Linked DNA regions of Macaca fascicularis. The protein of the gene in region 3 binds, or shares a complex with, the protein of the main gene of each other region. Links are inferred from orthologs where the notes say so. Each region holds a gene or a part of one and is shown on either strand. Other genes may lie near its edges.

Region 1 (4,218 bases), on a different chromosome or scaffold from region 3:
TAAAGTTTATACAACATCTTGAAATCAAAGGTACTCTATAAATTTAAAATACTAATATGGTATTAACTTAAAGCAAAGAATAATAATTTTAAAACACCTTATAGCCCAAGGGTATTGTAAACCAAATATAAATTCACTGTGAGATCTGTCTTTTTTAAGTGATTTTTTTTCCTCTATTAGGGAACCCAGATCTAAATGAACTGTTAAACACTTAGTCTAAAGGTACGCCAAACATTTCTTAAGGTCTTAACAAAGAATCAACTTTTTTTTTAAACAAAATGAGGCCTAGGTTAAATATTTTATTTGGCTTCTCAAGATGGACTGAGAAGTTGGGCACCAGCTCCAGACCAATTCCTGGACGCACATCAAACACAGCCCCGTCATCTATCCAGTCAGTCAAAACAATCTTTTCCATCTAACCCTTTAATGTTTATGTCCTAAAAAGCTGCTAATTGAATCCAGCTCTTGAGATCTATTTGCTAAAATCTATACCATCTAATTTGTAAATGATGAACAAAAATGGAAAAAAAAAATGTTAACTTTCCTGGCAAAACAGAAGAGACTCCACTGTAACCAAAGAAGGAAGGACAATGTTTTTAATATTTGTCAAATTTTGAGAGAAAACGATTCAGAGACAAATAGTTGCAAGAAACTCAGAGTACCTCAAACTGTTTTTACTATTAAGAGGACACAGGGTATTTAAAACTCCTCAGAAAAACCTGAAACAAAATCACTATAAATGTAGTTCAATATTCCCTCTTCCCCTAAAATATAAGCATAATCTTTCCTCTTAACAAACTTTAATTATAAATTTTTATAACGTATCATAGGTAGTACGGAAACCACAGATAAACACTTTAAGATCTACTGAGTCATACTAAAAACCTCAACTAACTTTATTTGAAGAAAATCAAAATCCCTATTTTTTCCCTCATCTATATAGCCCAGAGGAAAGTAAATGGAAACAGCCAATTTCTGATGCTTTCTGCACACCTGGGATCACATGTTCTTTCCACGATCACTGACTCCAGATAGCAACAGCAACAGATAAACTCGAAAGCAACAAAGATCCCCTATAAAGGTTTCCATTGTCTCCTCCCAATATAAGGACACTGAATGGGGGAGAGCGGGGGAGAAGGGGGAATACAAGTATCCTGCAATCCAGGTTTTTCATTAAGAACCACTCAGTTAATGATTCCTTGCAATTTTCCCTAGGGAAAGGAAAACTGTCATGAAGGTAATATATTATTTAAATTGCAGCCAACATACATTCAAGCTAAATTCTCAAATACCAAATTCACTGCAAGGTTTCACCCAGCAAGTTCAGCCAGTGGACTGAGATGTGACACATAAGCATTCAACTACAAAATTAGTCCAAATAAATCTCAAAGTCTAGTGTGGGCAAACATAATTACAGTTGATTCGTACACGTGCACGCACACACAAATCCTCTACGGAAAATTATCTTTCTCACCACTCACCCGAATATAAACGTGGACAATTTATCAGGGGTAAATGGTGAAGGTAGGATAACGACGTGATTTCAATTCCTTTTCAAACCAAATACAAGTGCTCCTAAAACGGGGGTGGCATGTCCATGTAAGAATACCAAAAATGGCACTGTAAGTAAAACGTACCTGTAATATTAAAGATTTCATGCACCTGGAATCATAAACACTTTGTAAGTGTAGTCTTCTATCTGACAACCCCTCCGGACATACTTTTCCATTTAGAAAAAGGAAGGGGGAGGGTGGGGAGAGTAACAGAAAGTTTGCTCTAAAGTTTGTATGAGGACATACTTAGAAATGTACCCCCTCCCTCCCCCCAAAAAAGTGTGTTTTTAAAGCAGGTCGGGAGTTAGAAGTGAGACACGAGTTCTGCGGCCTACAAGGAACAACCCCAAACATGCCACCCTACAATCAGACACTTCCAAAACACAGTGTACAATGAGCCCGAGCCGTCGGATCAGACAGGCACACCGGAAAAGTCAACCTGTCTCCTCTCCTCAGAGAGACGTGAGTTCAAGGTGTGTGGCCCCGGCAGCGGTGGCCGGCGGCGGGGAGTAAAGGTTTTTCATGCGGGCATAAGTGGGTGTGCAAGGTAACAACCCGGGAACACACACGCACACCCTCCCGTTAAGCGCTCCATCTTTAAGGAGTGTTTACTGCGCGCAGTCAGCAACCGGATTCAATAATCCTCGCCACGGGAGCTCTTCATCCCCTTCACGATCCCACCTGGGCGGTAGCCCAGGGGCTGCTCCCCGAGACCCGGGAGGCAGCGTCGGGCTCCTTGACCAAGACTTTCCGACCTGAAATCCGCCTGCGATGCGAACCGGTGTATCCTCCCCTCCACAAAAGACCACCCCCACCCCCCGCCCCGAGTCATCCTCGGCTTTTTAAAGAATGCCCAAGCCGTAGCAAGTGGTTTTCCAATTACTCTCCCTGAACTAGGCCTTCCCACTCCTCCGACCCCCAACTCACCATTGATCGCGACACTGGCCCTTCCTAAGGCCACAGGCACCCCCCGCCAGCTCGCCCACCCCGCGGCTGCCCAGCCCGGCCCGCCGCCCCCCCTCACCTGTCAGGCGCAGCTTGACGGGCCCGTTCCTCCGGCCTCCGGGGTTAGACATGTCCCCGGCGGCGGGGGCGGCGGGCGGGACGGGGACGGGGGCGACGGCGAGGCGCGGCGGAGTCACCACAGCGGCCGGGGCTGGGGCCCGAGCAGCCGGCGCCGCGGCCGCCACGGCCGGAGGGTCCCGGATGTGCCGAGCGTCGTCGCCATGAGCCGCGGAGGGAGCGGGACGCCGAGCTCCCCCCTCCTCCCACTTCTCCTTCCTCGGCCCGGGCCGCACAACAAAGCGGCAGCCGCGGCCGCCCGCGCCGCCTCCGCCCGCGCCCCCGCCGCCTCCTCGCGGGCGCAGCGGCCTTTCCTTCCTCTCGTCTCGGCGAGGCCCAGTAGCCGACGGGGCTGGTCGGCTGAGGCGGGCGGTGCTCGGCGACGCCGGAGCAGGACTCTGGGCTCGGCCGCTTCCTCCTCCACCCGCCCTCTTGTCTGAGGGACCCGGGACCTCGGGCCGCCGCCGCCACTCGTCTGCTCCAGGGGGCGGGGAGGAGACGGGAGGCGGGGCCGGCGGGCGGGGCGGGGCCAGCGGGGCGGGGCGGGGCCAGGGCGGGGTCGTCGGGCGCGCGCAGGGTGCCCCGGGCGGGCACCGGCTGTCAGAAAGGGTGTAAGTTGCCGCGGAGGGTCCCACGAGGAACGCGGGGAGGGAGCAGGCAGGGAGCAAAGTGGCGGCGGGCGCGGCAGCTCTGTGACACCTGGAGGGATTTAGTGTCCGGTCCACTTAAGGGAGAGCTTTTGTCCCAACAGCGCCGACTGCATTTATTAGACGCCCACTGCGTGCAGGGCGCTCCTAGAGACTGGGGCGAGGAAGGTTAGAACCGAGTCCGCTGCCTCCCGGGAACTTAGCGTCTTTCGGACGAGGGAAGAGACCGCATTCCCACGCCGATGGTTCCAGCAAAACCCCAGGAGTGCTCTGCTCCTAGTCTTGTAGTTGACACCTCCATCCGGAACTCACCTGGTGGAGGAGATAGGGTTACCTGCCGACTCCCGCTCTTTTCAGGTGCAGCCAAGGATAGGGAGATGATACGTCTTAAAGGATTAACAAGATAAACCTTGGAGAGTAATGTGTGAAGAGTTGTTAATACACTACTGTATTTCGTTATCTCAGGAGGAGAAATTTTTTTTTAAAAATGTGCGCCTTATCCTTTGACCTTGTAACTGTACTGCTAGAAATATTTTTTCTTTTTTTGGACAGGGTCTCTCTCTGTCATCCAGGCTGGACTACAGTGGTGCGATCACGGCTCCCCGCAGTCTCAACTTCCCGGGTTCAGGTGATCCTCCCACCTGAGCCTCTGGACTAGCTGGGACCAAAAGTGTGCACCGCTACGCCCCACTAATTTTTGTATTTTTAGTAGAGACATGTTTAGTAGAGACATTTAGGTTTTCCCATGTTGCCCAGGCTGGTCACGAACTCCTGACGTCAAGCGATCCGCCCGCCTCGGCCTCCCAAAGTGCTGGGATTACAGACCTGAGCCACCTCACTGGCCCTATTCTTGACAAATAATCGTACAGAAGATGTTCTTTGTTATATTCCATTAATACCAAAAGGGGAATGAGGGAACAGCATAATGGTCCAGGAACCGCATGGTTTTTTATGCA
Region 2 (4,517 bases), on a different chromosome or scaffold from region 3:
TGATGAGCAGTCCATCTAATGAATTTCCACCTACTACACACCAGACATGTAAGGGCAACTAGTACTGAATGAATAAAACATTCCAAAAATAATAGTGAATTTTAAAACCTAATTTTTAAAAAGTCACTGCAGTTATGGGTGCTTTTCCAAGTTCTAAAATGTTCTAAGTATAAACACAACGCAAACAATATGCATTTTTTACTAGGTTTTAAGTAATTAATTTTTTTTTCTAGGTCAAGCCCAAGAAAAAACAAGCCCTCGTCATTTTTTCCCACCATGATAAAACGCCATCAATAAAGAAATCATAACAAATTACACAATTTTTAATGAAAGCAACAAATTTGAACTGCCCAAATGTTCTTAAAAGCCATCTACAATGAACAAGATGAAAAAAACTCAACTATATATTTGTATGTAGAAGATAATGAGGTTATCAGTCCAATTATAACTTAAGAACTCACAGACATTCACAACTCTATACAAGCAGAAAAAATTCTGCATTCAGACCCCAAAGATCTGAGTTCCAGTCTAAGCTGGCTAGTGTGACACTGAACAAGTATGTTAACTTCCATATGCCTGTTTTCTCGTTTGTAACATAGTTTTCAAGACAGAAAAATGGATGTATATAAAACAACTTATAGTCACCAGTTTGTGTTGTGAACAATAGTATTCACAACCTACATTCTACTATTCACAATCTTGCATAGTTTTTAAAATGTGTCTAATTAGAATTAAGAGTTTGATTATCAAAAAGTTAGAATTTCCTAGATTCACAAAGGTAAGGAAACCGGAAGGACTCAGTAGAGTCATTAATGCCTTAAAGTGATAGACCTTTCTGAGTGTCCCATCAGAATAAGTATGATTTAGAAAATCACTAGCAGAAATAAAAGTCCAATTTACAGATGAGCAACACTTAGTTAAAAACTTATTAAAAGCAAAACTGTAATAGTTTATGAATTTTAGAACTGCTGGATATAAATTCTTGTAAAAATTACCTACTAGAAGAAAAAGTACACTTTCCAGTTGTGACTCTTTGTCACAAAATGGGGGATCCAATCTATGTGTAGTATACTTTGAAAAAATACCGTGTAGTCTGCAGGGTGCATGCCAACACACATTTACTTACAATGAGTCCATAAACCAACTTCCAGGGGTAAGAAAAAAAGCATACCTAAGTCTATTTCTGACAAATTGAACTGTTTAGGCAAGCAGCTAAATTGTTTTTCCTTCCTTCCTCCTCCTTAACCCGGGTTTTTGTCATCAGGTTAAGTGAGTTTTTCTGAGTTCCAAAACCCTGTGGTCTCTGACAGAAGAATATACAACAGGCCCGCAAATAGGACAGAGGATGGGAGTGGGGGCGGTAACTCTTCTTTCCACTCAAGTTACAGCCCGAGTAGGCTAACTACATTGCAGTATTTGGAAAACCTATTAACTTTTGGGCAAAGTTCCTATGCTGAAGTTTAGCCTGAAGCAAGTTCTTTAAAAAAAAAAAAAAGAAGAAAAAAGAAAAGAAGGAAAAAGAGAGAACCCTACACTAAACAAAACCACTGGGACCTATCGGAATGTTAACACTCTCATTATAAATAGTTTCACTTCTATGCTGAATCAAGCTGGCAAAATAATCGAACGTTGTGTATGTGGAAAAGCAGCCATGTTCATATCCGCAATAAGAATTAAAAAGCAATGGCGATCCTAGAATTAGTCATCGCTTCCCAAACATTAACTTTTAATCACAGTTGAACTAGGCAGGACTTGGCCTATGAGTCAACCCGCAGTGTATTATCAAAGGCTTGTGTTAAAACCTCGGTACTGTAAAGCGCAACTCAGTTCCTGCGCAACGTACAGATGTGGCTAATTCAAAAGCTTTTCAGCCGACTGTAAATAATAGCCTACGATCGGGAAACCAACACGCAACCTACTAAGTTTGATAAGAGCGAGCCGACCCAAGTTCCAAGACACAAGGGAAGCGCAGGGGTGAAAGAACTCCATAAACAACTTCCAGGAAAGTCTGGGCAGGGGAAGCCCGAAACCTGTATTCAGAAATCGCCTAAGCCGCGAGGAAAATAAATGCTTACGGGAGGGGGAGGCAGAGGGGGAGGGGAAATGGGTAGGGGGGAGGGAAAGAAAGAGCAAAAAACTAAATGGACCGGTTCTACCCCCACCTCTAATCAACACTGGAAAACAAGAGAACAATTATTTGACTCCCCCAGGAGACTGAAGTGGACCGAGAGGCCGCAAAGGAAAGGGGCCCAGGGCTCAACTTCACAAACTCGGCCGCCGCTGGCAACTCACCCACACACAAATGCCAGAGGCCCCCCTCCCCCTTTCCCGGCCCGGCCCCGGCGGGAGCGAAGGTGCGGAGCGCGCGGAGGCGCGCGCATTGTGCAAGCCCACCGCGGCCCAGGCTCGGCTCTCCCCCACCCCCTTCCTTCCTCCCCACCCCTCCTCCACTCCCGCCAACCTCCCGGGAACCCCGGGAAGAAAGAAAGGAAGGAGGGAAAGCACGCCCCCCGGGGCCGCAACCGCAGAAAGAAACTCCGAAAGGAAAAACAAATCTCAGCCCCGGACTCTGGGAGGAGTGGGGAGCTGGTCACCGCGGCCGAGCGGACGACTCCAGTTCCTCCACTTCGCCGCGGGACCCCCACCCCAGCTAGAGCTCCCGCAACCCCCTCCCCTGGCCAGAGCTGGCGGCCGCGGCTCCCGAGCGCCCCCCCGGTCTGAGGCCCGCCCGACGGGGAAGCGGGGAGAGGGGCGACAAGGTTACCTGTCGGGAGTGGGATTTGGGCTCCGGCGGCTTGAAGAAGGAGTCGGGCAGCTTCCGGAGCCTCATAGGCACGGTCTGGGGCACGTTAGCCGTCTTGGGGTTCATGACGGCGTTGAAGAGCGCCTCCAGGTCGGTCTCCGAGTCCCCGCGGACGTGCACGATCTGATGCCCGGCGGGGGGTGCCTGCGGCGCCGCCTGGGTCGCCGCGGGTGCTGGCTGCCCGGGTCCGGACGGCGGGCCCTGCCCCTGGGGGGGCTGCGCAGGCGGCTGCCCTTGGCCCTGGGGGGCCGGTTGAGGCGGCGGCTGCTGCCCGGGATCCATGGCTTCTGCCTCCCCCGACGCGCACCCCCTAAACCAGGCGGGCGAGGGCTCCGCCCGGACGCCCCGGCTCCACAGGCCGAGGTGGAGAAGCGGCGACGGCTGCGGGCCGGGCGGTGCTGGGCGGCGGGAGCGACGCTCTCCTCGCTCTCAGGGCCGGGGGGCTGCGCCGCGGCCCCGCATCCCCCGCCCCGGCGCCTCCGCCCCCGCCCTGCGCCCCGGCTCCACTGGTCTGGCGGCTGCGCCTCGGGAGGGGCTGCGAGGGACTCGGACCTGCGGCGCCTGAGAACTTTTTCCCTCCAACTCCCTTGACGGAGGCCGGACAGCTCGTTGCCTTTCCCCTCCTCCCCCTTTCTCTTTTATTTCCTTTTCTTGTTCCTTCCTTCCTCCCTTTCTTTTCCCTGGCGGCGGCTGCGCCCGACTGAGACAGAAACTCGCCTCAGACGCCAAAACTAAAGTTGTGAGAAGCGCCCGCCCGCGCCGCCGCGGCCCCGCCTCCTCTCGGCTCTTCCTTCCTCTGCGCGCCCGCCCGCACCGCGGCCCGGCCGGCAGCGCAGGGAAACTTTTCGCTGCAAGTTGCTACATTCCTGCACACTCCCAGCCCTCCGCGCCTCTCCCGGTCGCACGTGACCCGCTCGCCCTGGTCCGGTCCGCCCTTCGCCCGCGCTCAGCCCGGCAGGGGCCCGGAGCGTGCCCCGTGTTCTACGCCGCGAACCACAAACGCTGGGTCCATTCCGAGGCCGAAGTGTGGTCTCTGCGGAGAACGCGGCCGCCCTTGGCCCCAGAAAGTCCTTCCGCCCCGCTCGGCTCCTTTTCCCGGCCCGTGCTCGGGAAAGGCGCTTCCAGCTCGCCTGGACTTGCGAAAGGACGAAGGCCGAAAGAAGTGGAGAGAGGATGTGCGAACCCACCTCCTCCTCCCCGCGTTACCCCGGCTTGACCGAGCGGAGCGCCAGTGCGGGCTTAAAGCCGCCAGGATAGATGGGAGTTAAAATAGATACGGTGAGCCGGCGCTGATGTTAATAAAGGTCCATTGTTTTCAGCATTAACTTTATTTTGTAATTCTGTTTCACTTATCTGTTAGTGTGCGAAAACTCACTTGAAAGGGTAAACGGTTACTGTAATTGAAGCTTTGAGACCAGGTCTGTGAGTCAGTGTAACTTAGTAAAAGAAACAAAAACACTACATTTTCTAAATAGTGAAATCACATCAACTGTTTTAGTACTCGAGTTTGCAACATAGTCACTGGAAGCCTCAACCCAAAAAAATCAGTGCTTCTTCAGGTACAAGCATTCATTCCTCTGTACCTGCCTTTCATCCTCAGGGAGCTGGGTGCCTACCCCTGCTATCCCTGTGCCTGGCCCAAGGGTGGACTCCGTTAATGTGGACTGAATAAGAAATGAATGGGCAAGTAGGTCACCCCAGGCACCTGATGTAC
Region 3 (4,670 bases):
CTGCTTTTCCAATTTCTCCATGGCTCCGGCCGGGGCTCAATCGATTCTGGGAGCTTCTCTGCCCCCCACCTCTCTCTCTCCTCCGTCGGTACCCCATCTACAGCCCCGGGAGGGGGTGGCGGTGGCGGGGGGTTGGGGGGAGAAATAGCTTTTAGAAACCCGATCTGTTGTTTGCGAAACACAATCGCTTTTTTTTTTTTTTTTTAAAGCGACAGGGTGTCTAGACGGCCACGTGACGAGGCCGGAGCCGGGCGCGCCACTGCGCAGTGGAACCAGCCGAGCAGAGGGCCGGAGGGGGGGTGCGGGGGGGCGGGGAGGAGGCGGCGGCGGCGGCGGCTGGGGGCGGGGGAGGGAAGGGGGAGGAAGGGGGAGGGAAGGGGGCGGGGGCGGGGGCGGGAGGCCTTGCGGGAGGCGGCGAGGTCTGGGCACACTCGCTTGCTGCTCGGCGCACTGAAGATCTTGTCCCCGAGCCGCGCCAGCCGAGCCAGCCGGGCGCCGTGCTCGGTCCGCTCGCCGCGCGGGAGAGAGCTGCCCGAGACAGAGCCAGTCCGCCGCCGCCGAGCCGCCGAACGCCCGGCCCCTGAGCCCCAGAGTGCGGCGCGGCGAGCCCCTGGCGGCGGCAGAAGGACCAGAGCGCCAGGAGAGGGCGGACCGGGGACAAGGAGGCTCCCGGGCGCGACGAGGAGAGTCTCGGAGGAGGAGGCGCCGAGAGGACACCGGGGCCTCCTGCCGCCGCTGCTGGGGCCAGGCGAGCAGCCCATGCGGGGACCCTCGGCGGGCAGCCGCGGCCAGGGGAAGGGACACCGGCGGCCCCCGCACTAGCAAGCAGCTTGTGCCCAGGGGGGGCGAGAACGCGCGACCCGCCTGGGGCCCTCCGCCGCCGCCGCCGCCGCGCCGCCCTCCCCCGCGCTGTCAGCCCCGCCGGGCTCAGCCGCCGCCGCAGCATCTTCTGCCCCTGCGCCCCCGCCAGCCTCGAGGAAGTCCCCGCCGAGGACCTGGGCCCCCAGGAGCGCAGGAGGAAAGACCAGAGACTCCCCTAAACCACCCAGATGCGCAGGATTGAAGCGGTCTAGCCAAAGCTTTCTGTGGATTAAAAAAATACACGATTTTTTTTTTTTTGGCAGAAGGAGAGGAAGACCAGCGGGGCTTTGCAAGGAAAAAAGGGGGGGATGTAACTCGTGGATACATTTTTCCACCCCTCAAACATCTTGTTATACTTTGTAAACATTTTCTTTTTTTAAACCCCAGCTCCAGCCGGACGCCCCCAGACCTCAGAGGTTCGAGGAGGTGGTGTTTTTCATTTGGGGCTTTGCATATTTGGTTGTTAGGTTTTGCGAGAGCCTTCTTATTTCGCCAGACATCTCATGCGGGGTGAAGTCCACTCGGCCCCCTCCCCTGAGTCTTCGTGTGCACGGAATTCGAGGAGATCCGGTTACTAAGGATATAGAGAAAAAAAATAAATTGCGTGCTTGCTTTTTTTTTTTTTAATTGCCTGCTTCTCCCCACCCCCAAATTAAGTTGCTTAGCAAGGGGGAAAGAGGCTTTTTCCTTCTTCCAGCAGCCCAGCCGAACGCCTTTCGCTTTTTTGCCTCCGCGGACCTTCCATGTAGGAAGCCGAGGCTGGCGAGCCCGACATTCGGGAGCCACTGCGGGGGGGCCTCTTTTTGGGGAGGCGCCGACGGGGGCAGGCTCGGCCGTCCCCAGGGAAGCGGCGGCCGGGTTCCTCCGGGGCGCGCCGGGGCCGGAGAGCCGCGCAGGGCGCGGGCCGCGCGGGGTGGGGCAGCCGGAGCGCAGGCCCCCGATCCCCGGCGGGCGCCCCCGGGCCCCCGCGCGCGCCCCGGCCTCCGGGAGACTGGCGCATGCCACGGAGCGCCCCACGGGCCGCCGCCGCTCCTGCCCGGGCCCCTGCTGCTGCTGCTGTCGCCTGCGCCTGCTGCCCCAACTCGGCGCCCGACTTCTTCATGGTGTGCGGAGGTCATGTTCGCTCCTTAGCCGCCAAACGACTTTTCTCCTCGCCTCCTCGCCCCGCATGTTCAGGACCAAACGATCTGCGCTCGTCCGGCGTCTCTGGAGGAGCCGTGCGCCCGGCGGCGAGGACGAGGAGGAGGGCGCGGGGGGAGGTGGAGGAGGCGGCGAGCTGCGGGGAGAAGGGGCGACGGACAGCGGAGCGCATGGGGCCGGTGGCGGCGGCCCGGGCAGGGCTGGATGCTGCCTGGGCAAGGCGGTGCGAGGTGCCAAAGGTCACCACCATCCCCACCCGCCAGCCGCGGGCGCCGGCGCGGCCGGGGGCGCCGAAGCGGATCTGAAGGCGCTCACGCACTCGGTGCTCAAGAAACTGAAGGAGCGGCAGCTGGAGCTGCTGCTCCAGGCCGTGGAGTCCCGCGGCGGGACGCGCACCGCGTGCCTCCTGCTGCCCGGCCGCCTGGACTGCAGGCTGGGCCCGGGGGCGCCCGCCAGCGCGCAGCCTGCGCAGCCGCCCTCGTCCTACTCGCTCCCCCTCCTGCTGTGCAAAGTGTTCAGGTGGCCGGATCTCAGGCATTCCTCGGAAGTCAAGAGGCTGTGTTGCTGTGAATCTTACGGGAAGATCAACCCCGAGCTGGTGTGCTGCAACCCCCATCACCTTAGCCGACTCTGCGAACTAGGTGAGAAGTTGTCCCCTTACCCCCAGCATTTTCCGGCGCGCCAGTGCTGGAAGAAAAGCCCTTAGGGCAGTGCGTTTGTGCAGCCACCCCTCCAGGGGGAGTGTGCATCCCCTCCTGGGAGGAGACTGGGGGCCGAAAGTAGAGAAGGGACACGGGGAAACTCAAAGGGCATTCCCTGGGGTTTCCCTTCCAGGATTTCTCCTGTGTTGCCCCGAAGGGGTCTATGGGCACTGCTCCTGCACACAGTTTGCGGTTAAAAATTAGACGCCTTCATTTCCGGATCAACAAGGGGGTGCAGAGGGAGATGGGGGGGTCACGCCTCCCCGCACCCGGAAAGGCGTTGAGGTGTGTGACCGAGTTGGATTTGGTCCAGGCCCGCCAAGGAAGGCTGGGAGAAGCATGCTATAAAAAGGCTGGAAGGTCTCCGTATTTACTCCTTCAGTAAATAAGGAGAATCACGTCGAACACAAGTGGCCCAGACACTGTCGTGGCCGCGCAGCTTTGGAGTTTTGGGGCAAAGAGAGTTGGATGGAAGGCCGAACTGGGTATCTGTCTCATTTCAACTCTGCCAGCCCCAGGGTGCAGAGGAACAAACAGCCAGGAGAAGTTGGGTGTCCCCTACTTTTTCCTTCCTTCCGCACAGATAAGTCTATAGATTAGTGGGGCCCTGCGCCTCGGTGACGTTGTCGCCCCTTACTGCGCTGGGGCCAGGGCTTCTCGGCTGAGACCCTGAAACTTCTTCCCTTTTATCCTGTCAGCTTTCTCCATTCCTTCCTTTTCTGTATGTCTCTGTACACGGAGTGTGATGTGAGGGTTCACCCCGGGCGACCGCAGATCCCCCAAGTTCACCAGCACGCTTGGGCTGCATCTCCCGAGTGCGCTGGGAATGGGGAGCCCCGTGTCCCTCGCGCGGGTGCCCAGCGGACCGGCGGGGGCGGAGGTGAATTGCACCCCTGGGGGGCGGGCCAGGGCGGGGAACCGAGGTTGCTGGGAGCTAGGTCTGGAGTCCGAGAACGGGGAGGGGGTATGGTCGCCCCCCGCCTGTGAACTGTGAAGTGCGCGGCTCCGGCTGAGCCGGTGGTTTCCAGCCGGGCCAGCCGAGCGCGGCGGCGGCGGCCGCAGACGTGGAGGAGCGGAGCGCCGAGGCTGGCGCCAGGCGGCCTCTTTTGTTTATCTGACAGCTAAATATCAAGGCAATCACCGCCTCGCGGCCCTGCCTCCAACCCCCACAGCTAAGACAAACAGTTGGGCTAAAAGAATGCTTCTGTTATCATAAGTTTCTATCTCTCTTCTCATGGCTGGGCCTTTATTTTCTCTTGCTTTTTTAATTTCAGAGTCTCCCCCCCCTCCTTACTCCAGATACCCGATGGATTTTCTCAAACCAACTGGTGAGTAGATGATTTTTAAAATATCCTTCCTATCTTAAGTTAGAAATAGAGCCTCTAGAACCTGGCTTTTTGTGTGTAGGCAAAGGCTTGGAGAGGTGCTGGACTTGCTTCACTTCACGTTGGTTCTAGGTTTCCTCTGTTGGAAGTTTGGTGAATTTTTCTGTTGTGACTGGGTTTTTGTTTTGTGTTTTTGCAAAGATGTTCCCTTGATATGCTTTACATTTTGTTCCTTTTTCCTGTATTTGCGCTCTGTAGCCGGTGGGCTCAGCTTTGATACGTGGAAGCTTTAGTCCAGAAAGAAGTGTCTTGGGAACCAAATAGGACTGGTTGATGGGGAAAACTTGGAGACTTCGTGAGTGCCAGGAGCATCAACGGCAATAATGGAAAGCGTGATTAGATAGATGGGAAGGCGGTTTAAAAAGGTTCAAAGAAGACTTTGGTCTAGAGTAGACACTGGAACGTTTCAGAAGTATAGGCAGTGAAAGGAGGGTAGGTTCCCCCTGCCCCAGTCACCTGCAAGTCAGTCCTCTCCCGGGGTTTTCTCAGTATTCTCCATAGGGGCCGTCAAAGTTTTGAGCACAGCTCTGCCTGTCTGTTGCTTTGTCACTGACTGGCATGGAGCCAGGGCAGAAGCCCATTT

The links. The genes of interacting proteins can lie anywhere in the genome.
Region 1: the proteins of SMAD7 (region 3) and SMURF2 are in contact, whole or in part, in an NMR structure (PDB 2LTZ), measured with the Homo sapiens proteins. The link is inferred for Macaca fascicularis from reciprocal best matches to the Homo sapiens genes SMAD7 and SMURF2. Residues at the interface, in NP_005895.1 of Homo sapiens: Glu203, Leu204, Glu205, Ser206, Pro207, Pro208, Pro209, Tyr211, Ser212, Arg213, Tyr214, Pro215, Met216, Asp217; in NP_073576.1 of Homo sapiens: Glu304, Arg306, Asn307, Thr308, Ala309, Thr310, Arg312, Tyr314, Val316, Asp317, His318, Arg321, Thr322, Thr323, Gln324, Phe325, Thr326.
Region 2: the proteins of SMAD7 (region 3) and YAP1 are in contact, whole or in part, in an NMR structure (PDB 2LTV), measured with the Homo sapiens proteins. The link is inferred for Macaca fascicularis from reciprocal best matches to the Homo sapiens genes SMAD7 and YAP1. Residues at the interface, in NP_005895.1 of Homo sapiens: Ser206, Pro207, Pro208, Pro209, Pro210, Tyr211, Tyr214, Pro215, Met216, Asp217; in NP_001123617.1 of Homo sapiens: Thr241, Gln242, Asp243, Tyr247, Ile249, Asn250, His251, Lys254, Thr255, Thr256, Ser257, Trp258.

The regions. Positions count from the first base shown.
Region 1 is NC_088390.1:71,250,799-71,255,016, forward strand, and holds the start of SMURF2 (E3 ubiquitin-protein ligase SMURF2), read right to left. Parts: upstream 3,093-4,218; 5' UTR 2,630-3,092; coding exon 2,578-2,629; intron 1-2,577. UniProt on the Homo sapiens protein: E3 ubiquitin-protein ligase which accepts ubiquitin from an E2 ubiquitin-conjugating enzyme in the form of a thioester and then directly transfers the ubiquitin to targeted substrates.
Region 2 is NC_088388.1:101,116,907-101,121,423, reverse strand, and holds the start of YAP1 (transcriptional coactivator YAP1), read right to left. Parts: upstream 3,086-4,517; coding exon 2,765-3,085; intron 2,387-2,764; exon of another isoform or gene 1,920-2,386; intron 1-1,919. Other genes in the region: uncharacterized protein, read left to right, coding at 3,084-3,312, 3,370-4,019. UniProt on the Homo sapiens protein: Transcriptional regulator with dual roles as a coactivator and corepressor. Critical downstream regulatory target in the Hippo signaling pathway, crucial for organ size control and tumor suppression by restricting proliferation and promoting apoptosis.
Region 3 is NC_088392.1:40,812,498-40,817,167, forward strand, and holds the start of SMAD7 (mothers against decapentaplegic homolog 7), read left to right. Parts: upstream 1-1,539; 5' UTR 1,540-2,029; coding exon 2,030-2,642; intron 2,643-3,074; exon of another isoform or gene 3,075-3,187; intron 3,188-3,976; coding exon 3,977-4,030; intron 4,031-4,670. UniProt on the Homo sapiens protein: Antagonist of signaling by TGF-beta (transforming growth factor) type 1 receptor superfamily members; has been shown to inhibit TGF-beta (Transforming growth factor) and activin signaling by associating with their receptors thus preventing SMAD2 access.